4 linked regions of the Xenopus tropicalis genome follow. The protein of the gene in region 4 interacts with the protein of the main gene of each other region in a biochemical or structural test. Links are inferred from orthologs where the notes say so. Each region holds a gene or a part of one and is shown on either strand. Other genes may lie near its edges.

Evidence for each region. The genes of interacting proteins can lie anywhere in the genome.
Region 1: the proteins of ywhaz (region 4) and cdc25b form a complex in vitro, tested with the Homo sapiens proteins (2 studies listed by BioGRID and IntAct). The link is inferred for Xenopus tropicalis from reciprocal best matches to the Homo sapiens genes YWHAZ and CDC25B.
Region 2: the proteins of ywhaz (region 4) and gsk3b form a complex in vitro, tested with the Homo sapiens proteins (2 studies listed by BioGRID). The link is inferred for Xenopus tropicalis from reciprocal best matches to the Homo sapiens genes YWHAZ and GSK3B.
Region 3: the proteins of ywhaz (region 4) and bad form a complex in vitro, tested with the Homo sapiens proteins (3 studies listed by BioGRID). The link is inferred for Xenopus tropicalis from reciprocal best matches to the Homo sapiens genes YWHAZ and BAD.

Annotation. Positions count from the first base shown.
Region 1 is NC_030677.2:15,564,856-15,572,706, forward strand, and holds part of cdc25b (M-phase inducer phosphatase 2), read right to left. Parts: intron 3,969-7,851; coding exon 3,927-3,968; intron 3,442-3,926; coding exon 3,405-3,441; intron 3,198-3,404; coding exon 3,087-3,197; intron 2,665-3,086; coding exon 2,548-2,664; intron 2,447-2,547; coding exon 2,303-2,446; intron 2,178-2,302; coding exon 2,106-2,177; intron 1,970-2,105; coding exon 1,787-1,969; intron 1,344-1,786; coding exon 1,248-1,343; intron 911-1,247; coding exon 848-910; intron 657-847; coding exon 558-656; intron 436-557; coding exon 302-435; intron 172-301; coding exon 60-171; intron 1-59. UniProt on the Homo sapiens protein: Tyrosine protein phosphatase which functions as a dosage-dependent inducer of mitotic progression. Directly dephosphorylates CDK1 and stimulates its kinase activity.
Region 2 is NC_030678.2:1,892,120-1,899,970, reverse strand, and holds part of gsk3b (glycogen synthase kinase-3 beta), read right to left. Parts: intron 6,185-7,851; coding exon 6,074-6,184; intron 5,848-6,073; coding exon 5,717-5,847; intron 4,564-5,716; coding exon 4,457-4,563; intron 4,171-4,456; coding exon 4,073-4,170; intron 1-4,072. UniProt on the Homo sapiens protein: Constitutively active protein kinase that acts as a negative regulator in the hormonal control of glucose homeostasis, Wnt signaling and regulation of transcription factors and microtubules, by phosphorylating and inactivating glycogen synthase (GYS1 or GYS2), EIF2B, CTNNB1/beta-catenin, APC, AXIN1, DPYSL2/CRMP2, JUN, NFATC1/NFATC, MAPT/TAU and MACF1.
Region 3 is NC_030680.2:35,251,294-35,259,144, reverse strand, and holds part of bad (bcl2-associated agonist of cell death), read right to left. Parts: intron 6,535-7,851; coding exon 6,384-6,534; intron 6,110-6,383; coding exon 5,937-6,109; intron 3,806-5,936; coding exon 3,674-3,805; 3' UTR 3,637-3,673; intron 2,140-3,636; 3' UTR 1-2,139. UniProt on the Homo sapiens protein: Promotes cell death. Successfully competes for the binding to Bcl-X(L), Bcl-2 and Bcl-W, thereby affecting the level of heterodimerization of these proteins with BAX. Can reverse the death repressor activity of Bcl-X(L), but not that of Bcl-2.
Region 4 is NC_030682.2:130,811,213-130,818,454, reverse strand, and holds the end of ywhaz (14-3-3 protein zeta), read left to right. Parts: intron 1-2,659; coding exon 2,660-2,783; intron 2,784-4,226; coding exon 4,227-4,390; intron 4,391-4,476; coding exon 4,477-4,572; intron 4,573-6,028; coding exon 6,029-6,088; 3' UTR 6,089-7,146; downstream 7,147-7,242.

The DNA.
Region 1 (7,851 bases), on a different chromosome or scaffold from region 4:
CAGCTAGAATCGGCCTGTTTATGGGCACCTTAAGCCCAATGGAAAGGCCATAAGCTCACCTGAAAGCTGGGAAAGAAATCCTTGTAGCCTCCTTTAAGGACATAAAGTTCAGGATAGTGTAGCTTGGGGTACTCGTTACTATTGCGGTCTTGCTTTCTAATGAACCGGCACCTGTGGAATAATGAAAGGCAGTCTCAGTATCCTATTGAGCATAACAGAGCTGCATTGCTTTATGGCAGAAACTGCAGTCAGAATCACAGCTATAATCATATAGTGTTTAAGCTAGATAAAAGTAACTTACATCCTGGGGCCCCTCTCTGAGGAGAACTCGCAGTGGAAGATAATGATCACTCGCTTGTCTGGGCTCTGCGGTACTATGGGCTCCTTCAGCAAATAGGCTTCTACGTCCTGTTCCAGGGGCAGGTTTATGGCTCCCTGAGAAAATAGGGCAAGAAACAAAAGTTTCAGTTACTGCTGTAAAATGTCCCAAGTGCTTTATGGCAGCACCCACCTGGGTTCTGTTTGGATAGGAAAAAAAAAGGGCTAAGAGCTCTCACCTTGATGTGCCCACCCTCGTATTCATAGGGGTATCTGCAGTCGATAATCACACAGCGCTCAATCGTGTCCTTATACTTCCCACTCAGCACACAGTCCATCTGAAAGAACAAAACAGAATAAAGTCATGTAATGATGTCATAAAAATGACAGCAACCAATCAGATACTTCTGACACAAATACTGCCTGCTGATTGGTTGCTATGAGTTATTAGACACGGTGTATGGTTTTCAAATTGAACCCTACCTCCCCACTGTATAAGTTCTATGATCAGATCTTGGAGACAACATACCATTTCAGGAGTGATGTATTTCAGATCTTGGTGTTTCCCTTCCACTGTTTTCAGTAAATACGCCTGGAAAATAAGAGAAATGATGTCAATTTGGTGCATAAACTTCTGAATCATTACTAATACCCTCGGCTCGCACCTAAAGGTCTATCCATTGCATCTATATTTTCCCTTGGAAACGCAGGGCTGACAATAATCAGTTATTCCACATGGGCTGGATTCGGTTAAACCAATGATATCATACATACATGTCTATGAAGTTCTTGGGCATGCTGGGGGGGTCAAAAAAATCTGTTGGGAATGGCCACACCCCCTCACCTCCCCTTCACCCAGTTGGACAGCTCTGGCTGAGGATAATATAATATAAAGGTGATGGGTAAAAGGGTAATTTGCTGCTTCTCACCTTTGAGGAATCACCAATGAGCTCTCTCTCATCGTTGTCCAGTATCTTTTCCACGGTAGCGAGGCACACAGACTTGGACCTTCCCAACTTCATTTTCTACATTGAAGGATGAATGATAAATATTAAGGAAAGAGGGAAAATGGCCAGTATTTGACATTCTATTACCGGTCGCTATAGCAGAAGACATGGACATAGCTGCTATACCCCCAAATTCTGGCCAACAATATAGTCTAAACCTCTAAGGCCTGATATGTCTTTTTTGCCTTCCTCTGAATCAACTAGCAGTTAGGCAGGTTATATACAGGCATTATGGTTGAACGTGATGGACCTTCGTCTTTTATCAACCTAACTTACTATGTTACTATGTCTCTGCCCCCAACCTACAGCAACTACTGGACAGATATCACTCTTCATGGAAACAAAGGGAGACACCTGAAGGCTAAGGCCAAGATGGTCAAAGGCAGCTGAAGACCTATTTAATATTCTATTGGCCAGGGATGTGCCCCGAGTGAAAGAAAGAACTCAAAGGTTCTACATACCGGTTCCTCGTTCTCCGGCCATTCTTCCGAATGTGACTGCGGCAAGTTCTTCAACCTCTTTGACTTCACAGGGGTCTCACCATCCTCTGGTCTGTCCAATCGTTTGAGTATGGGCCTGATGATGCTACTAGGCATGGAGGGTGATCGGAACAGCCGGCGGCATTTGCTTTTAATAATCAGATCCTGGGGGAAGATGGAAACACAGTTCCTAAATAGGAGCAAGGGAACTCGTTCCTTCACAGCCAAAAACTGACGGACAAATAGATCCACTAAGTATGGAGAGAGACGGCTGACGGATAGAGAGGGCTGACATACTTACCGGGTCACTCTTGTCTTCTTTGTTGACGAATGGGGCAGTCAGCAGATTCCGCATTCCAGAGGGAATATCAGTCTGCAAAGGGGGGGACACAAAGTGTTAAAAAAAAATATAGTTAAGTGCAAAAGTGCTCAGAAGAGCACCCTAAGCTAACTGACATAAACTGATATGGGTGGGTATATGTCCCCTTCATTTTGTACCTTTATCTCTTCATCATCCATAATTTCCATGAATCCGTCATCGTCGTCATCGTCATTGCACAGAGAGAAGGTCAGGGAGGATTTGCGTAAACGGATGGGACTCTCGTTTTCCATTTCAGAGTTGATCTTGTCAGGGCTGAAAAACTAAGGGTGGAGAAAGGATCGCGTTATCGATCAGATCCGGCAAATCTAACAGCGGAAGAAGCTGGCTGGATCGCGGTCACGACACAAGGAAAAGTACCTACCATGAGAGTGGGGGCGGAGTTTGGCCTTTCGGAAAAAGCCTCTCTGTCGCTGCAGCCATCGAAGGTGCGTAGCCTGGTGCGGAGGAATGGGCGCGGCTTCTTAAAGAGAAGTAATTCCTGTGGACAGAAACATACAGGGTTAATGTTTAGATGCCTAGCAACGATCCATCTTGAAATTGTAGATTGTAAGCTCTTTTGGGCAGGGCTCTCTTCACCTTTATATGTTACTCTGTATGTGCAATGTATGTAACCCACTATATGTTGGCGCTTTATAAATAAATGTTAATAATAATAATAATGTATGGAACCTTGGGATATTTATATAGGGGCCCTTTGACTGTTATAGGTTTAGAGCCACATGTATAGGACCATAGGCTTTGACTGACCACATTCACAACAAAAATGTAAGTTATGTTTTTTTAAATACCCCTCCCCCAGGCTTATAAAGGTCAGGCATGGGTTAAAGGGCAAGGCATTCCTTCTCCATCATCAAACAGGCACAATCTGCACTTCCTGTCTGTGCAACAGGTGAGACTTACATTCTCCTTATTGTCTTTCTCCGCTGGGATCTTCTCGAGGGGTTTGGGCAGATCCAAGTCCAACGGGTGGGAGAGTCTTCTGAGAGCGGGGCTGCCCCCCTGGAGAGTCTCCTGTGTACAAGATACCTGATCATTTCATATACTGTGACCAGCTTTTATGCCTATATGCAATCAGATACCCCCTCCCCCCCCCAGTAAGCATAGCGTTATCCTTTATATAGACTATTAAGGTATTCCTAAGTATGCAGGAGCTGCCATGATGATCCCCTAGCCCCGCCCAGTAAATGGTTTGCTAAAAAAAGGCGGAAATTAACTTACCGGCAAGGAGTGGATTCTTCTGATTGGGAGCTTGATACTGGAAATTAAGAAAAAAGGAGACGGGTTAGAATAATTCTATGTCTGAACCCCAATAATGGAATCACCCTATTGGCACTGCAGAATGTGGGCCTTATTCGCTAAGCAATAATGTTATTAATGGTCCAATAAAAGCTTTATTTAGCTGTAGGGAGGGGTATTATCTTGTAAGCAGCAGAAACACCCAAACACGCCTTTAAATAAACATTTGGTATCAGCGGCGTTTAGAGAGCTGCGCATTCTCTCTGCATCGGGGAACGGCCCTAACGGCACACGTCGGGATTAAAAGTGTTTACTTATCCTTGAAAACAATGTGCAGCAGGATGTACGACAGGGGAAAAAATACATTGGCTAAATTTGTCTTTTAATTAAGTGCCCTTTAACGTTTACAGCACTGCTGCCCGCAGAGGCCTTTGATGTTGCTATGGGAGAAGCTGCTATATAAAATACACCAATAAACGTCGCCTACACTGTCCCTATACTTACTCGTTGGGGGGGATTCTTGATTCAAAAATAACCTTTTCAAACCTGGAAAAAAAAAGAGAGAGAACGAGTGAAAATGGGTATAAATGAGTCTCGCCCGGTATTGATCTGGGGTCCCTTCGCCCTGATAATTACCCTCATTTACATCCAGGAACAGCGCCCCCCTGACCTATTTTGTCTGTGCATGCAAATGATAAATAAAAGAAAGCAGAATAAATGCACAAAAGCCCCCTCGCTTGCCCCCCCCCGCCCTGATACAGGGGCTGTAAATGGGTTTAATGTGCCCCGGCCTTTTCTATAGCAGGGGTTTAAGGGTCACCGCTCCCCACCTGTATGTAAATGTGCGGCTTTGTTTGGCTCTGCACCCAAGCCATATGTCCCAAGGAAAGCATCAGGCTCGGCCCCCCTGCCTGGGGGGGGGGTAGGGGGATCGGGAAGGGACAAGTGTGGCATATCAAAGCCTCTATTCAGCCCATTCATGCACTAGGCAGCAGGCCGACCCCACTAAGCACGTGCTGCAAGCCCCCCCACACCAAGGACTGGCAGATGGAGGCTCCGTGCAGCCCCAATTAACTCAAGCATTCTGCAAGAAAGGGCAGATTATACTTTAGCCGGGCTTTGTGTCTTGGGCAGATTGCATTCAGCCACCTTAAATACAGGCACCTCCTCCAACCCATTCATAGCCCCTTCTCCGCTGGGGTGGGGGGGCCTGCAGTGCAGGGCTTTTCTATTGGGACAATAACTGTCTGTGGGGAGACAAATAACCCCCATAAAATACACTCCTCCACCTTGCCCCCCCTATACAAGAGAAGTGCAAGCCCATGGGGGGTAAGAGACTTCAGTGCCTAATTCTTTTTAACTATAACTGCTAAAATCCTTCAATAGACCCCCCCCCCCACCCTTTTACATTCAGTAAATTCATAGACATGAGCAATCTTAGCAATGTTAACTTCCCCTTGAAACTAATCAATGCCATTTCATTTTCATTAAGCCTTATCTATTTGGGCAGGTTGCCCTGTGCCACCCACACTACAGGGGGGCATAGGTAAAGGAATCTGGGGCCAAATGTCCTTTGCTATTCCAGCCCAGAGTTTGACCCCATCTGCCCCATCACTTGAGTCAGGACAGGTGCTGAACTGGCTGCCCAGCCATAATACCCTCATTCACTGGTGAACAAATACCTAATACAAGGGTTTGGACAGTCTGGGGGAGGGAGGTGCATATCATACTGCACAGATGCTCTGATATTTGCCAAAGGACAGAGAATTGTCAAACACTCGATATGTATCTGCCCCAGCCTCACCTGCCGACCAACTGTCGCCTCCAATAAAACCATAAATCAAGATAAGAGACATTTCTGCTTCTTTTTAACTCACAGGATCTGCTATGTGTGTTAAACAGTATGGATGTGTCCCTTCCTGCACTGGCGGTTCTGACTCTTGCCACAATGTAGCACTAAAGTCTTATTCACAGCTATATTATTCAGGTGTCAGTAGCAGCAGTGTAGGCAAAAGAAAGGACCAACACTGCTTTCCATAGTAATTACAGATACCGATAATGCTAAAATAGTAACTATCCTGCCTCATAATTAAAGGATCAGTAACACCAAAAAATGAAACAGCTTTTAAGTAATAAAAATATAATGCCCTGTTGCCCTGCACTGGTAAAACTGGTGTGTTTGCTACAGTAACACTACTATAATTTATATAATAAGCTGCTGTGTAGCCATGGAGGCAGCCATTCAAAGGAGAAAAGGCACAGGTTACATAGCAGATAACAGATAAGTTCTGTAGAATACAATAGTGTTTTATCTGTTATCTGCTATGTGCCTGTGCCTTTTCTCCTTTGAATGGCTGCCTCCATGGCTACATAGCAGCTTATTTATATAAATTATAGTAGACTTTCTGAAGTAAACACACAACTTTTACCAGTGCAGGGCAGCAGCACATTATATTTTAGTTACTTTTATACACTTTCATTTTTTGGTGTTACTGTTCCTTTAAAAACAACAAAGATCCACCACAAACAGTCTCAGGATGTGACTCTGTACCATATGATCAGGTCGACTTCCCTTCACTGCTGGTTTCACTATAAACACAAACAGGATGCGACTAATGGGGCAGTTGGAGAGCAGGAAGCATTGGTTACCCTGGAGGGGGGCATAACTGTTTATACTATACTATATACTAATTATATCCTTATAAACGATTAAAAGTGATGTCATCAGTTATGATGGGAGCTCGGTAATATAATTTCTGTCACATGACTCACCAAACCGTGTATATTATAATAAAGTACCCCCTTTGTAATATATGAGGATATTAGAAGTTACCTCGGAGTTCCATGACCTGTATAAATGACCTCAGCCTTCTACCTTTATATGGACATGGAACTCCTCGGGGACTTATAATATCCCTATATGTTACAATAGGGGGCACTTTATTCACTATATATTATAAGGAACTCCTCGGGGACTTCTAATATCCCTATATGTTACAATAGGGGGCACTTTATTCACTATATATTATAAGGAACTCCTCGGTGACTTCTAATATCCCTATATGTTACAATAGGGGGTACTTTATTTGCTATATATTATAAGGAACTCCTCGGGGGCTTATAATATCCCTATATGTTACAATAGGGGGTACTTTATTCACTATATATTATAAGGAACTCCTCGAGGGCTTATAATATCCCTATATGTTACAATAGGGGGTACTTTATTTGCTATATATTATAAGGAACTCCTCGGGGACTTATAATATCCCTATATGTTACAATAGGGGGTACTTTATTTGCTATATATTATAAGGAACTCCTCGGGGGCTTATAATATCCCTATATGTTACAATAGGGGGCACTTTATTCACTATATATTATAAGGAACTCCTCGGTGACTTCTAATATCCCTATATGTTACAATAGGGGGTACTTTATTTGCTATATATTATAAGGAACTCCTCGGGGGCTTATAATATCCCTATATGTTACAATAGGGGGTACTTTATTTGCTATATATTATAAGGAACTCCTCGGGGGCTTATAATATCCCTATATGTTGCAATAGGGGGCACTTTATTCACTATATATTATAAGGAACTCCTCGGTGACTTATAATATCCCTATATGTTACAATAGGGGGCACTTTATTCACTATATATATATATATATATATATACAGAAAAATAATATATAAGATACACTCTCTTAAAATTGGGTGCACATACTGTACACCCCCTTCATCTTCAGCCGCTCCTCACAACAGACATCTTCCTGCCCTCGCCTCTTTAATGTCAAACCACACGGGCCAACCAGAGAGCTGACTACGCACTTTAAACCCACAGAACACCCAGTACTTGTCTGTTTCCCATATGATATTAAAGGGGACATTGTCACTACATCTTTAACGGACCAAATCCAAACACCTCCCCAAGCAGCTTCCCTATATTTGTTCATTATAAAAGTGCCCATGGTTTTATTTGGAACTGCAATTCCAGCTGAGAGAAGTATCTGTCTATTTCTCTACTCTGTTTGCCCGACTAAAGGAACAATGTATGAGGCTAAATCTCTAGGGCCCACAATGCCTTGTACGCTTCTGTTATTCTCCTTTTTTCCTCTCAAGCGCGAGTGACAGGGTTAAATCCGCACAGTTCCCGGCTAGGAATGTACATTTGAATTCCAGAGCCCTCCCATCAGATGCAAAAAACCCCAATACCCCGGCCTGTCCCCTCCCTACACTGCAGGCTTTGTGGATCAGTAACATGAGTTTGCGTCCCCTGAATGAAGGAATCATATTTCTCTCTGGGAGCCCTGCCAGTTGGATGGGGACTTTAAAACAAAAGAGGGCTGTGAAGGAGCCCGAGCCGGGGGCCCCATACACCCTGCAGTTGTTCAAGGAGTTAAAAGGACGGCAGCTGTTGGCTTA
Region 2 (7,851 bases), on a different chromosome or scaffold from region 4:
ATAAATACAAATATACAGAGAAGGAATGTTCTGGGCACACAATATGCTGTACCCCCATACTGTACTGTCTAAGGGAAACACTATGGCACCCCCTACCCATATGTATAAATACAAATATACAGAGAAGGAATGTTCTGGGCACACAATAAGCTGTACCCCCATACTGTACTGTCTAAGGGAAACACTATGGCACCCCCTACCCATATGTATAAATACAAATATACAGAGAAGGAATGTTCTGGGCACACAATAAGCTGTACCCCCATACTGTACTGTCTAAGGGAAACACTATGGCACCCCCTACCCATATGTATAAATACAAATATACAGAGAAGGAATGTTCTGGGCACACAATAAGCTGTACCCCCATACTGTACTGTCTATGGGAATCACTATGGCACCTCCTACCCATATGTATAAATACAAATATACAGAGAAGGAATGTTCTGGGCACACAATAAGCTGTACCCCCATACTGTACTGTCTATGGGAATCACTATGGCACCTCCTACCCATATGTATAAATACAAATATACAGAGAAGGAATGTTCTGGGCACACAATAAGCTGTACCCCCATACTGTACTGTCTATGGGAATCACTATGGCACCTCCTACCCATATGTATAAATACAAATATACAGAGAAGGAATGTTCTGGGCACACAATAAGCTGTACCCCCATACTGTACTGTCTAAGGGAAACACTATGGCACCCCCTACCCATATGTATAAATACAAATATACAGAGAAGGAATGTTCTGGGCACACAATAAGCTGTACCCCCATACTGTACTGTCTATGGGAATCACTATGGCACCTCCTACCCATATGTATAAATACAAATATACAGAGAAGGAATGTTCTGGGCACACAATAAGCTGTACCCCCATACTGTACTGTCTATGGGAATCACTATGGCACCTCCTACCCATATGTATAAATACAAATATACAGAGAAGGAATGTTCTGGGCACACAATAAGCTGTACCCCCATACTGTACTGTCTATGGGAATCACTATGGCACCTCCTACCCATATGTATAAATACAAATATACAGAGAAGGAATGTTCTGGGCACACAATAAGCTGTACCCCCATACTGTACTGTCTAAGGGAAACACTATGGCACCCCCTACCCATATTCCCAGGGGTTACGTCACTAGCACTTGTGATGCTCCCCTCACCCCTGGCGGAGAAGCTGAAGGGCATCAATGGAAGCTAAATATAGCGCCGACGCCATGGCACGGAGGTGACATATTAGAAAGCAGCAGAATGAGCAGAGTTAAGATTTCCTGGGTGCCAACGGCCTCGAAGGGAGGCGACACTGTCACACAAATAATTAGTTAATTAGCATTCCCCTGTACTAAGCACAATTCAGCAGGAACAGCCCCCTAAGTTTGCTCATAGCCTGTACAGAGAGATACCATAAAACTATGGCACATAGGGATTCCCCTGTACTAAGCACAATTCAGCAGGAACAGCCCCCTAAGTTTGCTCATAGCCTGTACAGAGAGATACCATAAAACTATGGCACATAGGGATTCCCCCTGTACTAAGCACAATTCAGCAGGAACAGCCCCCTAAGTTTGCTCATAGCCTGTACAGAGAGATACCATAAAACTATGGCACATAGGGATTCCCCTGTACTAAGCACAATTCAGCAGGAACAGCCCCCTAAGTTTGCCCATAGCCTGTACAGAGAGATACCATAAAACTATGGCACATAGGGATTCCCCTGTACTAAGCACAATTCAGCAGGAACAGCCCCCTAAGTTTGCTCATAGCCTGTACAGAGAGATACCATAAAACTATGGCACATAGGGATTCCCCTGTACTAAGCACAATTCAGCAGGAACAGCCCCCTAGGTTTGCTCATAGCCTGTACAGAGAGATACTATTAGTAAGTTCACCCTTTTCCCTACACTGGGAGGAAATGCCCCCCCCCCCCCCCGGCTGACATGTACATATCCTTGCTTGCACGCTGCCAGGCCTGGGGGCCACAGATGGGTGGTATCAGCAGCCCTGGGGGGTTATGGGAAGTCTCAGGTGTCGCTGTGCAGGATTCTGCTTGTTCTGGAATCTGCAAATCTCCCCGGTTTCCTGCATGACACAGTGCGGAGGGGCAAGTACAAACCAGAGCCCTGCCCCCGCCCCCCCGAGCTACAGACGTGGGGCATTTAGAGGGCATTAAGGGTACTAGTGAGCAGCAGTCACATTGGCTACTGCTTATAATAAAGGGGGGCAGGATTATCCCCCATTAACCTACCCGGACAGGTCAGTGACAGACTAACACCCAGCTGGTTAACGTGCTGCGGAACTGTACCCAGAGTGCACTGGGGCTGCCTTTATATAACCCACGCCTGGTTGGTAGATAATCAGCTTTAATATTCCATTTACCTGCAGCGACGGGATTAGTGCCGCTCTGCCCCGAGCAAAACAAGTTCTAATGCGCAAATATATTTGTGTTTATGGGCAGAAGCGGGAGATTATTACTGTATTATACACAAATCATATCCTTATAATCGCTGCTCGGCAACGTCATTGGCTAGAAGTGTCACGTGACTCACTTGTGCATTATAATAATGTAACTTTGTACCATAGGAAGATATTAGAAGCCCCCTGGGGGTTCCATGACCAGTGTAATAGCGCTTTATATGGCCGTGGAACCCTTCTGTGACTAGTAATATCCTTATATTATACAACAGGGGGTGCATTATAATAATGTAACTTTGTACCATAGGAAGATATTAGAAGCCCCCTGGGAGTTCCATGACCAGTGTAATAGCGCTCTATATGGCCGTGGAACCCTTCTGTGACTAGTAATATCCTTATATTATACAACAGGGGGTGCATTATAATAATGTAACTTTGTACCATAGGAAGATATTAGAAGCCCCCTGGGGGTTCCATGACCAGTGTAATAGCGCTCTATATGGCCGTGGAACCCTTCTGTGACTAGTAATATCCTTATATTATACAACAGGGGGTGCATTATAATAATGTAACTTTGTACCATAGGAAGATATTAGAAGCCCCCTGGGAGTTCCATGACCAGTGTAATAGCGCTCTATATGGCCGTGGAACCCTTCTGTGACTAGTAATATCCTTATATTACACAACAGGGGGTGCATTATAATAATGTAACTTTGTACCATAGGAAGATTTTAGAAGTCCCCTGGGAGTTCCATGACCAGTGTAATAGCGCTCTATATGGCCGTGGAACCCTTCTGTGACTTGTAATATCCTTATATTATACAACAGGGGGTGTGTTATTCACTATATATTAGACTTTATAAAGCCCCTACAATTTATTCATTCTAAGCAACTTTTCAATTGGTCTTCATTATTTATTTTTCATTGTTTTTTAATTGTTTGCCTTCTTCTTCCGACTCTTTGCAGCTTTCAAATGGGGGTCACTGACCCCGGCAGCCAAACCCTATTGCTCTGTGAGGCTCCAGTTTTACTGTTACTTTTTATTCCTTATCTTCCTGTAAAGCCCCTCCCCTATTCATATTCCCATCTCTCATTTAAACCACTGCCTGGCTGCTAGGGTAAAAAAGACCCTAGCAACCACATAGTTGCTATAATACCAAACAGAGAACACAAAAAGCTAAAAAAAAATCTGAAACAATAAAAAAATTTAAAAAACAAAGACCAATTGCAATTTCTCTCAGATTATCAATGTCTTTGTCTACTAAAAGTTGATGTAAAGGTGAACTACCCCTTTAACTGGCAGCACAGCTGAATAGTAACTATTGCTAGGGTCCAATTTAACCTAGCAACCAGGCAGTGGTTTGAGAGAGAGACGGGAATATGAATAGGGGAGGGGCTGAATAGAAAGATAAGGAATAAAAAGTAATAATAACAATAAAACTGGAGCCTCACAGAGCAATAGGGTTTGGCTGCCGGGGTCAGTGACCCCCATTTGAGAGCTGCAAAGAGTCAGAATAGGAAGGCAAATACCTCAAAAACTACAACAAATAAAAAATGAAGACCAATTGAAAAGTTGCTAAGAATAATCCATTCTATAACATACTGACAGTATAACCAACCTTCCAACCTGCTCTCTTACCTTGATTATCTCAACCAGCTGATCCACGCCGCTGTCCCCAGGGAAGATGGGCTGACCCAGCAGCAGCTCGGCCAATACGCAGCCTGCTGACCACACGTCTGGGGGGGGGAGAGAAGGAGCAAATATCAGGCAATGACTGGTACCAGTGTGTGAGTCTATGGTAAATGTAAGCCATACAATAAAGCAAAAGCAAGGGTTGCTATGGTTACAGGAGAGTTCTAGGGCAGGTCTTGGTAATATCCGTAATCTTTGCAGCACTGCCGTTATCCAAAGTGTTTAGAGGATTCCCCTATAGTGGTCGCTGCATGCTCCCCCTAGTGGCACAATGCAGAATAACACACGGTAACATTTCTAAGCCACGAAAGAGCAAAGGGCTGAACGTACCAATACTGGAAGTGTAATCGGTGGCTCCAAAGATCAACTCTGGGGCCCTGTAGTACCGGGAGCAGATGTAGGACACGTTGGGCTCTCCGCGTACCAGCTGCTTGGCACTGAAACAGACACAAGGGATATCAGAGCGGAACAACAGACTGTACAGGCAGCGCCCCCTCTGGAATTAACACTTATAGCGAGAGTCTGCGTGTAGCCGGGAGCGGGGTACAGCTGAACCCCATGTACAGTGTGGGCACCGGGCACCATGAAGCACATTTACCCCAGTCCCTTCCTATAAACAGCAAATCAGTTGCACGGGGGGCAGGTAAGGCCGCAGCAGTACAGCGGTTACACGGCTACTGACAGCCGAGGGTTAATGGCAAAGGGGGGTTATACATAGAGCGCTGCTAATCGTAGCACTGCCCGCCTACTCTGTGCCAACGATCTGCCCACACAGGGAAGTGATCTCATTATCCCCGAGACACAATTAGCTGGGGGAATTCACTGGCACGTCAGGCGTGTCCGGGTAAGTAGGGCCCAGGGGTAGGTGGGTAACCATTACATGATACCCAGCCGGGTAATAGGGCCCCTGGTAGTGGCAGGGGTAGGTGGGTAACCATTATATGATACCCAGCTGGGTAAGTAGGGCCCCTGGTACTGGCAGGGGTAGGTGGGTAACCATTATATGATACCCAGCCGGGTAAGTAGGGCCCCTGGTACTGGCAGGGGTAGGAGGTAACCATTATATGATACCCAGCCGGGTAAGTAGGGCCCCTGGTACTGGTAGGGGTAGGTGGGTAACCATTATACGATACCCAGCCGGGTAAGTAGGACTCCTGGTACTGGCAGGGGTAGGTGGGTAACCATTATACGATACCCAGCCGGGTAAGTAGGACTCCTGGTACTGGCAGGGGTAGGTGGGTAACCATTATACGATACCCAGCTGGGTAAGTAGGGCCCCTGGTACTGGCAGGGGTAGGTGGGTAACCATTATATGATACCCAGCTGGGTAAGTAGGGCCCCTGGTACTGGCAGGGGTAGGTGGATAACCATTATATGATACCCAGCTGGGTAAGCAGGGCTCCTGGTACTGGCAGGGGTAGGTGGGTAACCATTATATGATACCCAGCTGGGTAAGTAGGGCTCCTGGTACTGGCAGGGGTAGGTGGATAACCATTATATGATACCCAGCTGGGTAAGTAGGGCTCCTGGTACTGGCAGGGGTAAGTGGCAACAATGCCAGGGGCAACAAGATGAAGGGGCAGCACTTACCTGCCAAAGTCACACAGCTTGAGTACAGCAGTTTCTGGGTCCAGCAGAAGGTTCTGTGGTTTGATATCCCGGTGGCAGATCCCAAAGGAATGGATGTAGGCTAAACTGCGGAACAGCTGGTACATGTACAACTGCCGGGCAAGAACAGAGAGGGGTGAGTGGCCCCTGGGTACCGAGGTGCAGGCTCAGGGGCATACAGGAACCCACAGGCCTGGGTAGCACCTTGTTGCCCAATGATCCCTATATACAACACAGCCTGGCATGCCAGCCCATTAACCCTTTTGGCTCCCCAGTTTGCCCAGCTATATCTCCCCCACACACAGACCAATGGCCATGCAGCTTAGTGGGGGTACTTACCTTGACATAGATCATGGGGAGCGCCTGCTTAGCCCGGCTGTAATGTCTGGCCACTCTGTACACAGTTTCGGGAACGTAGTCCAGCACCAAGTTGAGGTACACTTCGTCCTTCTGCAAAGGAAAGAGGGGGGGCACTGAGTAATGGGGTCTGGGCTCTCAGGGTTACATCACATTACAAAGACGGGGGGCCCTGAGTAATGGGGGCTCTCAGGGTTACATCACATTACAAAGACGGGGGGCCCTGAGTAATGGGGGCTCTCAGGGTTACATCACATTACAAAGACGGGGGGCACTGAGTAATGGGGTCTGGGCTCTCAGGGTTACATCACATTACAAAGACGGGGGGCCCTGAGTAATGGGGGCTCTCAGGGTTACATCACATTACAAAGACGGGGGGAGCTGAGTAATGGGGGCTCTCAGGGTTACATCACATTACAAAGAGGGGGGCCGCTGAGTAATGGGGGCTCTCAGGGTTACATCACATTACAAAGACGGGGGGAGCTGAGTAATGGGGGCTCTCAGGGTTACATCACATTACAAAGACAGGGGGAGCTGAGTAATGGGGGCTCTCAGGGTTACATCACATTACAAAGACGGGGGGAGCTGAGTAATGGGGGCTCTCAGGGTTACATCACATTACAAAGACGGGGGGCGCTGAGTAATGGGGGGCTCTCAGGGTTACATCACATTACAAAGACGGGGGGAGCTGAGTAATGGGGGCTCTCAGGGTTACATCACATTACAAAGAGGGGGGCCGCTGAGTAATGGGGGCTCTCAGGGTTACATCACATTACAAAGACGGGGGGAGCTGAGTAATGGGGGCTCTCAGGGTTACATCACATTACAAAGACGGGGGGAGCTGAGTAATGGGGGCTCCCAGGGTTACATCACATTACAAAGACGGGGGGCGCTGAGTAATGGGGGGCTCTCAGGGTTACATCACATTACAAAGACGGGGGGAGCTGAGTAATGGGGGCTCTCAGGGTTACATCACATTACAAAGAGGGGGGCCGCTGAGTAATGGGGGCTCTCAGGGTTACATCACATTACAAAGACGGGGGGCACCGAGTAATGGGGGCTCTCAGGGTTACATCACATTACAAAGACGGGGGGGCGCTGAGTAATGGGGACTCTCAGGGTTACATCACATTACAAAGACGGGGGGCCCTGAGTAATGGGGGCTCTCAGGGTTACATCACATTACAAAGACGGGGGGGCCCTGAGTAATGGGGGCTCTCAGGGTTACATCACATTACAAAGACGGGGGGGCCCTGAGTAATGGGGGCTCTCAGGGTTACATCACATTACAAAGACGGGGGGGCGCTGAGTAATGGGGACTCTCAGGGTTACATCACATTACAAAGACGGGGGGAGCTGAGTAATGGGGGCTCTCAGGGTTACATCACATTACAAAGACGGGGGGGCCCTGAGTAATGGGGGCTCTCAGGGTTACATCACATTACAAAGACGGTGGGGCGCTGAGTAATGGGGACTCTCAGGGTTACATCACATTACAAAGACGGGGGGGCGCTGAGTAATGGGGGCTCTCAGGGTTACATCACATTACAAAGACGGGGGGCACCGAGTAATGGGGGCTCTCAGGGTTACATCACATTACAAAGACGGGGGGCGCTGAGTAATGGGGGCTCTCAGGGTTACATCACATTACAAAGACGGGGGGAGCTGAGTAATGGGGGCCGGGCTCTCAGGGTTACATCACATTACAAAGACGGGGGGCCCTGAGTAATGGGGGCTCTCAGGGTTACATCACATTACAA
Region 3 (7,851 bases), on a different chromosome or scaffold from region 4:
ATCTTCATTATCTCCAAGTGGCCACATACTCTATCAGCGATTGTCAAACCCATTATTTGGATGCTTTCAAAAAATGTCTTACCCGTTCCTCTTGATGAATGGTTTAAAGGAGGTAAACCTGTCATAGAACTCTCCCCTTGCCCCCTAAGCTTTTCAAAGCAAGCGGCCAATCAAAGGTAGAGATCCAACAGGATCTGCTGATGAAAATCCTAGCTACCAGCGCTACAGGAGGCATCTTGCTGATATCAAACGTAGACAACTGCATAATTCTTGTTTGCCAATGTTACAATCTAAGGAAACAGTGCTGTTATGAATTATGTGCTAGAAAGAACAAGAACCTGTATAGCCTGTAGGCAGGATTGTAACAGGAGGGAAAAGAGCTGCTAAAAACACTGATCATTGTTTTAAAAACCCATCCTTGATGTTGCAAGACTACAGCTCCCAACTTGGTTCAATCTTTTACAATGTAATAGCCAAGAGTTGCAATGTAGCAACAACAGGGTTGAAAGCACAGTTGTGGATTGGATCCCCATTTAAACCAACAATCTGTTATAGGAGAACCCAGTGTAAATCATTAATGATAGCAAAGCATGGTGCAACAATTTCAGTACTAGGCCAAGGAATTGTTAACTATATATCATTGTGTCTTGTGTCATTGTGCCTTAAAAACATTTTGCTTTACCTAGAGCTCCTGAGCTGGTGACCAGCAGACTGCAAAAAGACAGTATTGCCCACAAACAGACCATTACATTAACCATTATTCAGATTTATAAATATATGATATTGGCAATGGGTTTTATCCATTTAATTATAACAATATGTACCTGTTATCAAGATTGCTTGGGACTTGGGTTCTCCAAATAAAGGGTCTTTCTGTAATCTGGATTAAAGGGGCTGTTCACCTTTGAATTAACTTTTAGTATGATGTAGAGGGTGATATTCTGAGCGGTTTGCAATTGGTCTTCATTTTTTTAATTAAGTCTACTAAAAAATAATTAAGACTTAAAAGAGCCCAATAGAATTTTTACTTCCAGTTAAGATTCATTATATCTTGATCTTGGGATCAAGTAAAAGGTACTGTTTTATTATTACAGAGAAAAAGAAAATCATTTTGAAAATTTTGAATTATTTGATTAAAATAAGGGAGATATAGCCTTTCCCTGGTTTGGAGCTTTCTGGATATCAGGTTTCCATACCCGTACTGTATTTCTCTATTTTTTCAATATCAATTTATCTGCTGTGGTAGATTGTGATGTGTATAACAAAAGTAAAAGCATATTGCCACAATGATAATGTATGAAAACCTATGCAATAAGATAGGACAGTGCAGTCCAACTTATTACATGTAGTGGGCCAATTATTTCTCATCATCATTGTGTTCAAGGGCCTGATTATGTCACATAGTGAAGTCTACGAAGCTTTTGAGCAGACTGGGGGCATAAAACCCCTTGAAGAGCCATATCCATCCCACAGTCCTCCAGTTGGGATAGGAAATCACTGGAATTGGTAAACCCTGAGTACAACACTATGCCAATTAAGATTGAATGAATAAATTCTATATTACTATTTTACAACAGAAAACTTTTTGTGCTGTGCGTTGTTAGTACACTATAAAATATCTCATTTCCCAAAGTGCTTCATGTATGGAAACGTTTTTGAATAAACAGGATAAATGGAGCAGCCATTGCATATAAAGTATTACTATAATGATAACAGAATGTAAACCCTTGTCTATAAAGCAGATTAGAGAGTTTTCCTGCTTTAATCATTAAAGTTGATATTGTAGTAATAATCAGAGGTAAAACAATCATTTTCATTTGTTTGTAGATAAATAAGAAAAAAAGGTTATTTTCACAGCATGGCACTCATGTTCTCGGCTCATATTTAACACTTAACAATCCATTTTTAAATTTTATTTTTCCACCATGAAGGTGACACCCTCATGTCTTCCGAAATCACCCACTATTTATTTTCCTCAGCAGCTTTGTACACGACAATTCGCTGATGGTTTGTGCAGCCCAAACACCTGCATCTTTGTCCCGCTGGCATCTTTGTATGCAGCAATTTGCATTTCCATTCAAATTTGCCAAAACACAAGTGAGTACACAGTCCAGTGGATCTGTGGTGATCTTTGCAAATCTGTATATACATGAAAATAAACCATTAGCAAGCCAGGGAGATGATCACATATGCAGAAATACAGTTTCTCTTATTTTGGGCCTAAATGAAATAGCTATGTTTGGTTACATTATTATAAAATAATACTGACACTTTCATATGAAACAGGAATCGTTCAGGTCTGGACTGAGATTCTCAATGGGCCTTGGCATTTCAAGTACACACAGGCCCAAAAACAGTGACTGTCTATGGCATCTTAGAGCAGCCCCTCTGGCATTTGCCAAAATCCACAGATTGCCAGTCTGGAAAATCATGCCAATTCCACTAATTAAACAGCTCAGCATTTTTTTCATCCTTCTTTACCAAGCATTGTGCCAGGTAATACCTTTAAGTGTTTTTTTATCAGAGCTAACCAGTTACTGCAGGTGCATGACCCTCTGTCACCAGTGCTAGGCCTAAAACAGAGAGCACCCAAGGCTTATCCCCATCATCATTTATTTATATTAAGTAGAAATGCAATATTTTATATACTGAACTTACTGAACCAGTATAAAGGTACATCATCTCTATAGAACCAATGGCCTTCAAAGTTATCACAGGGGGTCACCATACTGGAAACTGTTAGAAAGGTCTGTGCCACATGCTCTGTGCAGCTGTTGAGAAGCTAAGCTTAGGGGTCATAGCAAATTATCAAGCAGAAAATTACATTTGTATGGCATAGATGGCAATGCTATAGAGGTGATTATTTCTGAAACTAATTGCTCTGGCTTCAGAGTTGCCATGTAGTAATTATCTGTATTAATTACATATCAGCCTTAAATTATGGCATTTATATTCTATATATACAGTATATTATACATTGGTCTCTGAGCTCAGTAACTGACAGCAGCACAGAGCATGTGGAGTGAATCAGCAGAGAAGAAGATGGGGAGCTACTGAGGGCAACTTTGGAGGCACAGATCTTCCCTGCTAAAGGGCTATAGCTGCTTGGGCTGGTACAGAAGCCCAAAACATTATGTACAACATTTCTGCCCTACTTCATTAGGCTTTAGTTCTCCTTTAATTTATAATGATCAGTGGTGTTACAGTAATATTTAACAAACAAGGGTTACTCAAAAAAAAAAAAAAAAGGATCACATGGCAATACTTGCTACAGCTTACAATCTAAAGCTCCCCGCCCTTGATCGCCCCCATATTACCATGGATCCCCCTCAGTGTGAGCTTGGAGACTGCCTGCCTGCTCTCCTGCACTGAATCCCACTGCAGGGAGCACATTGGCTAGCGGGGAGTTTTGGTGTGGCAGGCTCAAAAGCCCAAACCTGCAAGCAAGAGAGGTATGTGCTCATCGCACCCTTACTGTTGCCACTTAGGCACATGTCACTTCTGCCTACCTCTAGTTCCGGCCTTTCTATCACACAGATCTGCCACAGGACTGAGTTGTTCTTTAACCTGACAAAAAATTGCTCCACCCACATTAATTTGGTGATAAGTAACAAAGAGAAATTATATTAGCCTTACATTTCACATAGTGGGCGGTTCCTATTAAAGAACAGAATCACTCCTCATCCCCAGACTCATCCCTTCCTTTACTTTTCCGTCTTGAGAACAAGCCCATGATTAAGTCTCGAATGCTTCTGTTCCCAGTCATCTGACCCGCTGCACTTGCACTCTTTGGACGAGGAAGGCCCTAAGGGTGGAAATAACAGAAAGAATAATCATTTGCCCTCAAATGCATAAGTGCTTCTTATAAGTGCTTATTTCTAGATATATAACTCAAGCGTTTTTTTTTATTTTCTAAAACACTGTTTTTCTCATGCAAAATAATAAATTACATAGTATCCATTGTTAACATTTACTTAAAGAGGTGATGTTGCCCGTACCAACCAATCAGTAATTAGATTTGAACGGTTACCTATAAGTTAAAACAAAAACAAAAATCTTCTTGGTTGCTCTGGGCAACATCACCAGTGATGTTTGTCTTCAATGTTAGTAAAATGTTCAATAAAGTGTATATGTACAGTCTTGTTAAATAACAATTACTGTATATACTCGAGTATAAGCCTAGTTTTTCAGCACCCAAAATGTGCTGAAAAAGTCCCCCTCGGCTTATACTCGAGTCGGGTGCCATGGGTCCCTCCAGACTAGCACCCTCTGTCCTTTGTGTGCAAATTAGGCCACCTGCAACCAGACCCTCCAGTGCCCTGGTCTAGGCTCCCACTAGCAATACTTATTCCCCCTTACATCTCCTCCGGGACCGGGTCTGCTGCCAGTTTGCCAATGTGCAATGAGCGTGGGGTAGTACTCATATTGTTTTTGTTGACCCTCTTCTCCACTTACAGAGCTAGTTTACTGTTTTTCTTTGAAATAAATATTGAAAAACATATACCCCACTGATGCCTCAATTAATGTAATTTTATTGGTATTTATTTTAAAACTTAGCAGAAGCTGCTGCATTTCCCACCCTAGGCTTATACTCGAGTCAATAAGTTTTTCCAGTTTTCTTAGGTAAAATTAGGTACCTCGGCTTATATTCGGGTTGGCTTATACTTGAGTATATACGGTATTTAGAACCTTCTAAATTGTGCAGCTGGCCACTTTTTCCAGGCAGTGGATAGTATATTCAGTCTGAACGTCAACTAGGACAAGATTTGGGTTGAATCCTTTTTTTTCTGTACTAGATAATGCTGAAAGTATGGTGGGATGATAAGTATGACAATGTTTTTATTTACCTACATCGCTAAAGACATACGAGTGCTACTTTCTAGCTGCTCTATAGGATACTGAACTGCTACATGTAACTCTTGTAACTTGGCCCTCCCAGATAAATGGAGAAAGGGTCTCAGTTCTGAACTATAATTCTCTTGGGAACCAGTGGTTCTTAATCTGGAACAGTATTTTAGAATAGGTTAACACAAAAGAAAAATGGTTCTTTTGCATGACAGATTATTCATAGCAGATGCTCACATCACATTTCACAGTTCTACATGGTTATTATTTCTGATATAGGTGTCTGCCCATCATCATTCCTGTATCTCATAAAGCACCTCAAAGGGGTTTTACTCACTATCCCTGGGTCCTACACCCTTGAGTCCCTATAGTCTAGTGTGTTCATCTAGGAACTACCCCAACACTACAATCTCCTTGTTGGAGCACAGCACTGCTCATTCTAGATAACACTGTCTATCTCACACCTTTGGAGTGTGCCTTAACTGGAGCTACATGCACTCCACCTAAAGGTGGATTCTAAAGAGAATGAACCTTGGCATTTCTACCCTTTTAGAGAATATAAATCTGCCACACCCTGGGCCAAATGGGTACACCTTCCTCCCACAGGACATTACCAAGCACTGTTTCTAAGAATATAATTAACTAGATATTTGTGTTTCTACGGGCCTGTGGCATACATTGCATTTTGTCTGCAAAAGTAAATATGTTTTTTTTCTGCTTCATATCTGTGCACATAGACAGGAGTGGTATCCACCTGTCAGTGTGTACACAGAGTGGATCTTGGCCACAAAATACACACAACTGTTTTCTGGCTAAGATTTGTTCAGTGTGAGCACTGAGGATTACATTTTGGTAAATGTGCACAGGTACAGAGCAGAGAGGGGCAGAAGTGTTTCTTCCACCAACTTTAAAAGCACAAAGTGAGGTGTTTGTGAGTTGTAAGTTAAAAAAAAAAAAATCCAGGAAGCTGGAAGCCATAAACCAAAGAAAGTACCACTCATTTTGTTGCATTGGAAAAACTATTAGGAACAGAGATACTCCCTTTCTGAAGTATTAAATGATAAATATAATTGTGACAGTTAAATTGTTACCGTGAAGCTTTTTTCAAATTCATCACTCATTCTTCTTAACTCCCGTCCATATTTTGTAGCGATCATTGAAGACGGAGCAGAACGGGAACGGGAACGGAAAGGATGGAGCTCGCCCACTTTGTCTGTCTCACTGGACTCTGAAGCAGACTCAGTGCGTAAACGTGACTCCTTCCCTGTGATAGAGGTAGTATTATTAATTATGCTTTTGTTGTTTACAGGGGTACAACTATTTCAGTATATGCTATAATTCACTTACTAGTTTAAAACGGCTGCTAGCAGCACTGTTATTATTACCCTTTATTTATCACTAAGACATTTACAACATACTTTCCAGAAGTCACTGCCTGCCTATATATTTTATCTTATAGCAAGTCAGATTTCAATATTACAGATGGCATAATGCTTATGAAGAAAGATGAAATACATATTTTCTTGGCAGAAGATCACCTGGGTATCTTCGCAGGCTGGGAGAACTCTTAGCTACAGGTTGTCGAACGCCTGCCCCACGAGGGGGATCCACAAAAGGCAAAGGTAATCCCTGTTCCTCATTATCGAATTCCTCTAACTTGAAAACTGCTGAAGGGGATGAATCTGCCATCTAAAAAAGAACAGAATAATTTCAGGGAGTTATACATACATATATACTGCTAATTTCTATTTTGATAAACCTAAGCTGTTTCCACATGTCTCATTTAAAATGTAACAGCATCAGTCCTGTCACAGTGTTTGATATTTGTCTAGTAACCCATAGCAAGCAAGGTAGCTTCTACTGGCTGCTACGGGTTACTAAATGTGGCAGAAGTTAAGGCTTTTTTTAATTCCAATGCCTCATTTGCGCTTTTAAATTCAGTGGGAACTTTTTATGAGGGTGTTTAATTTACCTAGGGAAACTATATATAGTTTATTGGCTTCTTTTTCTTCAAGGACAGCCTATGATTTTGTGAATGCTTGCGTTATTCACTTCTGTAATGAGATATAGGACTACAAGAACCTAAAAAATGAAATCATTTTTCAGACTGATGACAATGATTGTAAAATATTTGGGAAGGAACATTGATTTTTTTGGAGGATGAATCTGGATTAAAAAGAATACAGAAAGTAGCTCTTTTTTTCTAGCATACAAAATTATATTTAATAAATTAAGCATTAAAAAGCTTCATATTGCCATGCACTGGATGGGACCACATCTACTGACCATAAAATCATGGAAACAACTGGTAAACCAGGCAATCCCACTAATTAATCTTACCTCAGAAGCGAGAGGAACACAGACTAAATTTGACCTGATTTGGACCCCGTGGATTGAAGCAGGACTGGACTGAACCTACATAACATGTACTATAACCAAAGTGATATGCATATCTCTATTTGCACATAGTATGGTTGTATCACTGGCCAACCAACTAAAACTAATGTATTCTGCAAATGTTTGGCATAAATGTCTGTCTGTTGTTAATAAAATTATACCTATATAAAAAAAAGCTTCATATTAAAGTAGGAAGTACAATGACCAATCACCACACCTTTTGTTTAGTGAATACACTCACTTGTTGCACTGTGCTACAGTGTTTGGGAGAGATTGCCAAGAGAGTGGATCTTCTCCTGATATGCCCACCTATGGGGTGGGTGATATCGGGCTAATTCAGTTGTTTGGCCCTAGAGCCAAACAATGGAATTAAAACAGTGGGAATAGGCGCCTTAGGTTCGTGGACCACATTAACAAGCCAATGTGGTCCCCGATCTAACAGAAAAATCAAATCTGCCCGATCGAGATCTGGCCCGTCGTTCATGCTAATACATGGGCAAATAAGCTTCCGATTCTGTCTAAAGGATGTATGGCCACCTTTTTAGTGTTTAGTCCAACAAACAAAAAGCTAAATGATTAAAAAAGGAACTGAAAATTGTGAATATTAGT
Region 4 (7,242 bases):
ACAGGCAGGGTAGGGCACACACACACATACACACAGGCAGGGTAGGGCACACACACACATACACACAGGCAGGGTAGGGCACACACACACATACACACAGGCAGGGTAGGGCGCACACACATACACACAGGCAGGGTAGGGCGGGCAGAGTATGGCGCACACACACAGGCAGGGTAGGGCGGGTAGAGTATGGCGCACACACACAGGCAGGGTAGGGCGGGTAGAGTATGGCACACACAGGCAGGGTAGGGCGGGTAGAGTATGGCACACACAGGCAGGGTAGGGCGGGTAGAGTATGGCACACACAGGCAGCATAAGGTGGGTGGGGGTGGATATAAATTATAGCGGTCTTTCTGTAGCAAATGCATGACCTTTAGTGCACGGCAACAGTACATTATATTTTAGGGCCGTGGCAGACAGGGAGATAAGTCGTCCGCAACAAATCTCGCTTGTTGTGGGCGACTAATCTCCCCGAAATGCCATCCCACCAGCTAGAATGTAAATCGCCGGTGGGATGGCATACGCGGCGCCAAAATCGCCAAAGTTTCCTCTCACGCCAATTCCGGCGATTTCGGCTAATCTCCCCGTCTGTCACTGCCCTAAAGCTCTTGTTGAGCAATGGGGTTATAATGCCCCCCAGTAAGTGTCTGTGAGACAAAACGTGATTGGGAATCTGTTTTTATATAGCGATTTTCTCCTGTGGGACTTATTGCCAAGCACTCATGATAGGCGCACTAAGTATGCTGGTAGGCTAGGAGTGTGACTAGTCCAGGGTCACAAAGTGTTGCCACAGGGCATTGAATCAAGGCATAAGGTCCCACATCCAAACATATTGGAATGGGAAGCTATTCAGCAACATTTTGGGAGCCGCCACTATCCAAAGACTCTTGTAATACAGCCCTTTAAGGGCTTGTTCACGTTTCAATTAACTTTTAGTATGTCGTAAAGAGCGCTATTCCGACACAATTTGCCAAATACTAAGAATTGCTGTGAAATTGCCTCTTGGCCGGGGAACCTGATGACTGCCCATGCTAAGGGCAATTAGGCTTTTAGGAGAAACCAGAATGTCATCTGGCCCATACAGTACCCATCTAATGACCTAGTAAAAAGTGATCTGAAAATACTCCTTAATCAGATTAGGACATGAGGTTGGTGTGACGCACATCTTTACGCCACTCGTTGGGAAAGTGTGTGAAATTCCAACAGCTTGCTGAACTTGCCGGGAGCGCCACATGCCTCCTGTAAATTCCCTGTCTCTCTCGTGTGTTCTGTGCTTTGATCTCAGCCGGAGCATAACGGGCTCATGTTGTCAGTGTTAATACACAAGGCCACCTATTCCCGGCTACTTTGCCCTATGCAGGATTTGTAAAAAGACAGTACCCCTCACATCCAGTCTCCTTGTCTAAACATTCATCTGTCCTGTGGGCATCTGCTAAATGCTATTGTTTGGGTCTGGCTGGGGCGTACCACTTTCTCTTGTGCGCCTGGGGCAGTGCAGCTGCACTTGGTATGCACCAGTACTCACAAGCTGTTGGCTTTAATGCCAAACTGCTCCCTTTCTTTCCAATCATGCAGTACCTTAGATAGGGGCCATTTATAATAGAAATGTCCTGCCGTAGGATCACTTCCGGGTTACATGGCGAATGGCAAAAAGCGGGTCATTTGTGTGCCCAGCTGGACCTGTGCAGTCCTGCACGAGCTGTCATCCAAAGAGATGTTGGGGGGGGGTATGTTGTATGTAGGAATTGGTACAATAGACGTGCATAATTCCTGTCAAAATTCCAGCATTTTGCCCTTTTAATTCTTAAGTTTTTTGTTTTTTTTTTTGGTCCGTTATGTTCAAGTAGCGCCATTGTTCTGAAGGTACAATAAAAACTTAAAACTTGTTACTGTCCCTTAAAGTAACAGTATATCCCCTTCAGCACAGTAGACAAATAATGTTTAGCATAGTGATCCTCAACCTTTCTTACTCGTGAGCCACAGTCAAATGTAAAAAGACTTGGGGAGCAACACAAGCACCATAAAAGTTCATGGAGGTGCCAAATAAGGGCTAAGATTGGCTATTAGGGGCCTCTATGCACACTATCCGCTTACAGGGGCTTTATTTGGTAGGAAATCTTGTTTTTATTCAACCAAAACTTGCCCCCAAGTGAGGAATTCAAAAATAACTCCCTGGTTTGGGGGCACTGAGAGCAACATCCAAGGGGTTGGGGAGCAACATGTTGCCCCTGAGCCACTGGTTGGGGGTCACTGGTTTAGCACAAGCCCTATTCATTGAAGTGGGAAGTATACTGCCTCTTTAAAAAAAAAAGGGGGGGGGAAGGGAGATCTGAATTTAGCCATAAAGCATATTACTGTACTGCATTAAAAGATGACTTAAAATTATTGCATGTTTAAGGAATATTGGAAAGTTGCTTAGAATTGCCCTTTTTTTTTTTTTTTAATTGCAAGTTTTTGGGACTATTTACCCTTTAGTGAAAGTTTATGTTGAATGTAATTATCTAATTATTGTTTTCTCTCTGTTCTGTGGTTCCTTCCCTTTGTGTTGCTGGGCTATTGGAATTGCTGGCATCTGCCAATGTACCTGACGCACAGATTTTGAATGTGTATTTCCCATATCACTGTATTTGAACCTGCATTTTTTTTTTGTCTTTTGCAGAATCTTCTGGACAAATTCTTGATTGCCAACGCATCACAACCGGAAAGCAAAGTTTTCTATTTGAAAATGAAGGGTGACTATTATCGTTACTTGGCTGAAGTAGCTTCTGGCGACGCAAAGGCAGGTGGGTGTTGTTGCGCGTAGACTGCATCCTTAGGAGCTTATCCTTCAGCTCAGGCACTACTCAAGCACCAGCCTTGGAGGGGGCATGGTTCTCTAATGGTGCTATGAAAATGGTGAAGCATCACCCAGTAACTCAGTAGATGTTTGAGAGGTTGTACAGCCACAAAATTTCCATTTCTTAGTTTCCAGCCAGTCAGGTACAATCAAACTAAATGTCTGAGGTTTAACTAGGGCAAAGCTCCTTCCAAATGCTGAGTAACCATATTCTAATCATGTGCACCTGATGGGATACACCTGTGTGTTGTTTCAGCCATTTTAAGTGGGTCTAAATGGGGGTGTCCTGATTTATTCTTCACCAGAAATGGCACTTTGTAGAATTACATTTTACAGAAGTATTTTCTTCAATTTTAATTGTTTAGTTATATTACTTGAATCTCCCTGTTTTGTTGAAATTGAGATTAAATATCCATATGTTCAAGAATGTTACAAGAACACACAGGGTTTCATAGTTTCATATTTCCTAATTTTTTTCACATGAGTACCTATAGGCCAGGTTGAGCATTTTCCGCTGATACGGCTGCTTTTGTAAGTAGTTGTTACTTAAAGCCAACCTGACTGTCCTGACATGTTATTTTAGCTTTATCTATTGGGTCCCAAACTCTGGGACTTGGAACAGGAGGGGACTTTTTACTACAAAGGCCTCCAAGATACGCCAGAAAGCCCAGCATGAAATTGTTAGGGTGAGATTTGGGGTGAAAACATTATTGTTGTCCTAAATGTTCTTGGGAAAATGGCTAATACACAGATATTTTGCTATTCCTTGTTAAGAGGGGCCATGACCTAACCCTTGTAACAAAAGGGACATAAACTGAAAGTCTGACAAAAACTGCCCTAGTTTACAAAAGAACCACAACACAGTTAGTGTTTAGAATGCATTTTGCCTATTTTTTTTTTACCATTTATAAAGCACTATTTTTTTCACTGTTTTTTCACTGCCATGTTTATAATGGTAGAGGGGGGAGATTCAGAGATTATCTGCCTCTGAACAAATAAACCCCTTCCTTTCCTGAGCTTCTCCAGCCTTTGAGCAGCTCATTATCAGAGGGCTTCAGTGCCCTGGTAATTAGTGTGATCAGCTTCTCCTGCCCACAACAGAACCAGGAAGTGCTAAAGTAAAAGTGTGCATTTTCTTTGGTGCCAGAAACGGAACCATAGATATTTGTCCATAAGACCAATTGCCAAAAATCTGCCCTATTTATCCAGCTTGTGTTTTCTGAATGCACCGTTGCTGGGGTGGAATGTGGTTTTGGAATTTCAGAGCATGAAAAGTGTAAATCTCTAATGTAACACAGATTCTTTAGTCTTTCAGTTGGTGCCCACTTTACATTTAATGGAATATAAGCAGAATGTACATGCAATCTAACATGTGACTCTGTGTTGCTAGATATCGTGGCCCAGTCACAGAAGGCATATCAAGATGCTTTTGACATCAGCAAAACTGAAATGCAACCAACACATCCTATCCGATTGGGTCTGGCCCTGAACTTCTCTGTGTTCTATTATGAGATCCTCAATTGTCCAGAGAAAGCGTGTTCTCTTGCAAAGGCCGTAAGTGTTTTGTCTCGCTCTGCCGGCGCATTACCAGGCACCAGCAGCAGTTATCCGCAATAACCTCTGCTTTTCTGCCATTTTAGGCTTTTGATGAAGCCATTGCTGAGCTTGACACTTTGAGCGAAGAGTCCTACAAAGACAGCACATTAATAATGCAGTTACTGAGAGACAACTTAACAGTAAGTCAATGAGGCTTTGCTTTCATCAAAGCATCCTGATTTGCACATATTATTATTATTATTATTATTATTATTAACTATACCCCCGATGGGCTGTGTGCTCCCTCAGAGATCAGCTGACAGGAAATAATGCAACTCTAACTGTAACAGGAAGTAGTGTGGGAGCAAAAGGCAGAAATCTGTCCATTCATTGGCTTATGTGTGCCCTTGGTGTGTTTGTGTGCATCATGAGTCGTATGGCCCTTGGTACTTAAAATGGCAATTTTCCAGGAAGTAGTGTGGGAGAACTCTGCCCATTCATTGGCTGATGGGGCCTAGCATGTATGTGTGCCTTAGCTTGTTTGTGTGCACTGTGAATCCTCTGATCCCAGGAGGCGGCCCTTAATTCTTAAAATGGTTTTCTATTTAGGATTACCCAGTGGCACATACTACTAAAAAGTATACTTTTATGGAAATGGCTTTTTTAGATAAATGAGCTGTTCGGGGTACACTTTTTTCTAAGTGTATTTTTTAAGAGAAGTGCCAGCCCAGGGTAGCGGGATAGTGACTACATTCTGTGGGTGAGGGAATAATTAGCACCCAATTCCTGTGCCAGCCCAGGGTAGCGGGATAGTGACTACATTCTGTGGGTGAGGGAATAACAAATTAGCACCCAATTCCTGTGCCAGCCCAGGGTAGCGGGATAGTGACTACATTCTGTGGGTGAGGGAATAACAAATTAGCACCCAATTCCTGTGCCAGCCCAGGGTAGCGGGATAGTGACTATATTCTGTGGGTGAGGGAATAACAAATTAGCACCCAATTCCTGTGCCAGCCCAGGGTAGCGGGATAGTGACTACATTCTGTGGGTGAGGGAATAACATTAGCGCCCAATTCCTGTGCCAGCCCAGGGTAGCGGGATAGTGACTATATTCTGTGGGTGAGGGACTAACAAATTAGCGCCCAATTCCTGTGCCAGCCCAGGGTAGCGGGATAGTGACTACATTCTGTGGGTGAGGGAATAATTAGCGCCCAATTCCTGTGCCAGCCCAGGGTAGCGGGATAGTGACTACATTCTGTGGGTGAGGGAATAATTAGCGCCCAATTCCTGTGCCAGCCCAGGGTAGCGGGATAGTGACTACATTCTGTGGGTGAGGGAATAACAAATTAGCACCCAATTCCTGTGCCAGCCCAGGGTAGCGGGATAGTGACTACATTCTGTGGGTGAGGGAATAACAAATTAGCACCCCTATCCCGCTAATTCTACCTTTTTGTACCTTGTACCTTTTATACCTCGTATTGTGAATGTATACCCGTGGGAAGGAGCACCCACTTATATGCAGCTCCCATGGCTTTACTGATGCTTGTGGGGGTGATTAAGTATAATTAGAGATTGGCATCAGGTTATTGTAAAGGATAACAAAGCAAAGAGAAACATTTTGTAATTATTAATTTTTTTAATCTTATTTTATTGTAGTTGTGGACATCAGACACCCAAGGGGATGAAGCTGAACAAGGAGAAGGAGGGGAGAATTAATCAGCCTTCCTTTTTGTCTGCCTCATAAAATTTACACAATAGACCATTCGTCATCCTTACTGTCCCACAAATAGGTTTTGTTTTTTTTTTTTTTAATTTTATTTTTTGTTTTTGTTTTGTTTACAATTACGGTTTATGTTACTTCTCTTTGGACTTCTATATTTCCCATGTGGCTTTTGTGTTTAATAATAGGGAATAGAGCCAGTTAATATTTGGGGGAGATATATATATTTTTTTTTTCTCTCTTAAGGTGGCCAATCTAGGGATGTTGAATTTTTATACATGTTTTAAGTGTTTTGGCATAGTACTTCTGGTAAAATCATGGAAACGAAGGGATCATCTGCAGGGGTGTTTAACCCTTCCCTCAGCTGTTATGGGGCTGCCTATGCTATAGAGGTGTAGCCCTGTAAGAGCTGCAGCAGCTGGATATCCCTGTTAGAGCTGTGGGCACAGACTTTGACATTCCTAAAGCGCAATGGGTGCAGGAAACCTGCCTCATGTTCCGCTAAAGCTTTTATACCCTCCAAGTCTCTGCCTATTCTTTTTACTGAATGTTCTTTGAGAAGGCAAGTACCTGTCCCACTAGTAGCCATGGAGGAAGGACCCCGGTTACCATTCCCAGTTCCCTAAACCTTCTGCTTTTGTTTCAAGTTGCTACTCTCCACCTTATTTGTATTTAAATCGTTTTTCAACCACCTAAGATCAAAACAAAAAAAGTACTTGACTCATTAAACGCTCCGTGCTTGGTATCCATATTTCCACTCTCTATCAAGCGCCGCAGAAAAGGAAAACAAAACCCTTCTATTTAACTTTTAGTTTTTATTTTTGTTTTTGATACTTGCCTAACATGCATGTGGCTGTAAAAAAATAAATAAATAAATAAAATAATTTAAAAACAAACAAAAAAAAAAAAAAACTAGTTACCAGGGGAATAACTTGAGATGATGGCTAGCTTTGTTTAATGTCTTACGGAAAAATTTCATGAACAATCCAAGCATAATTGTTAAAGAACATGTGTAATAAGTTGATGTAAGTGGAATAAAAATTTTATGAACGGATTTTTTTTCAACTATTGACACTGTCATATTAAATATCTGCAGTGCTGTCTTTCGCCTCGGAATATTTGATGGGGGGGGGGGGACCTCATCGCTTTA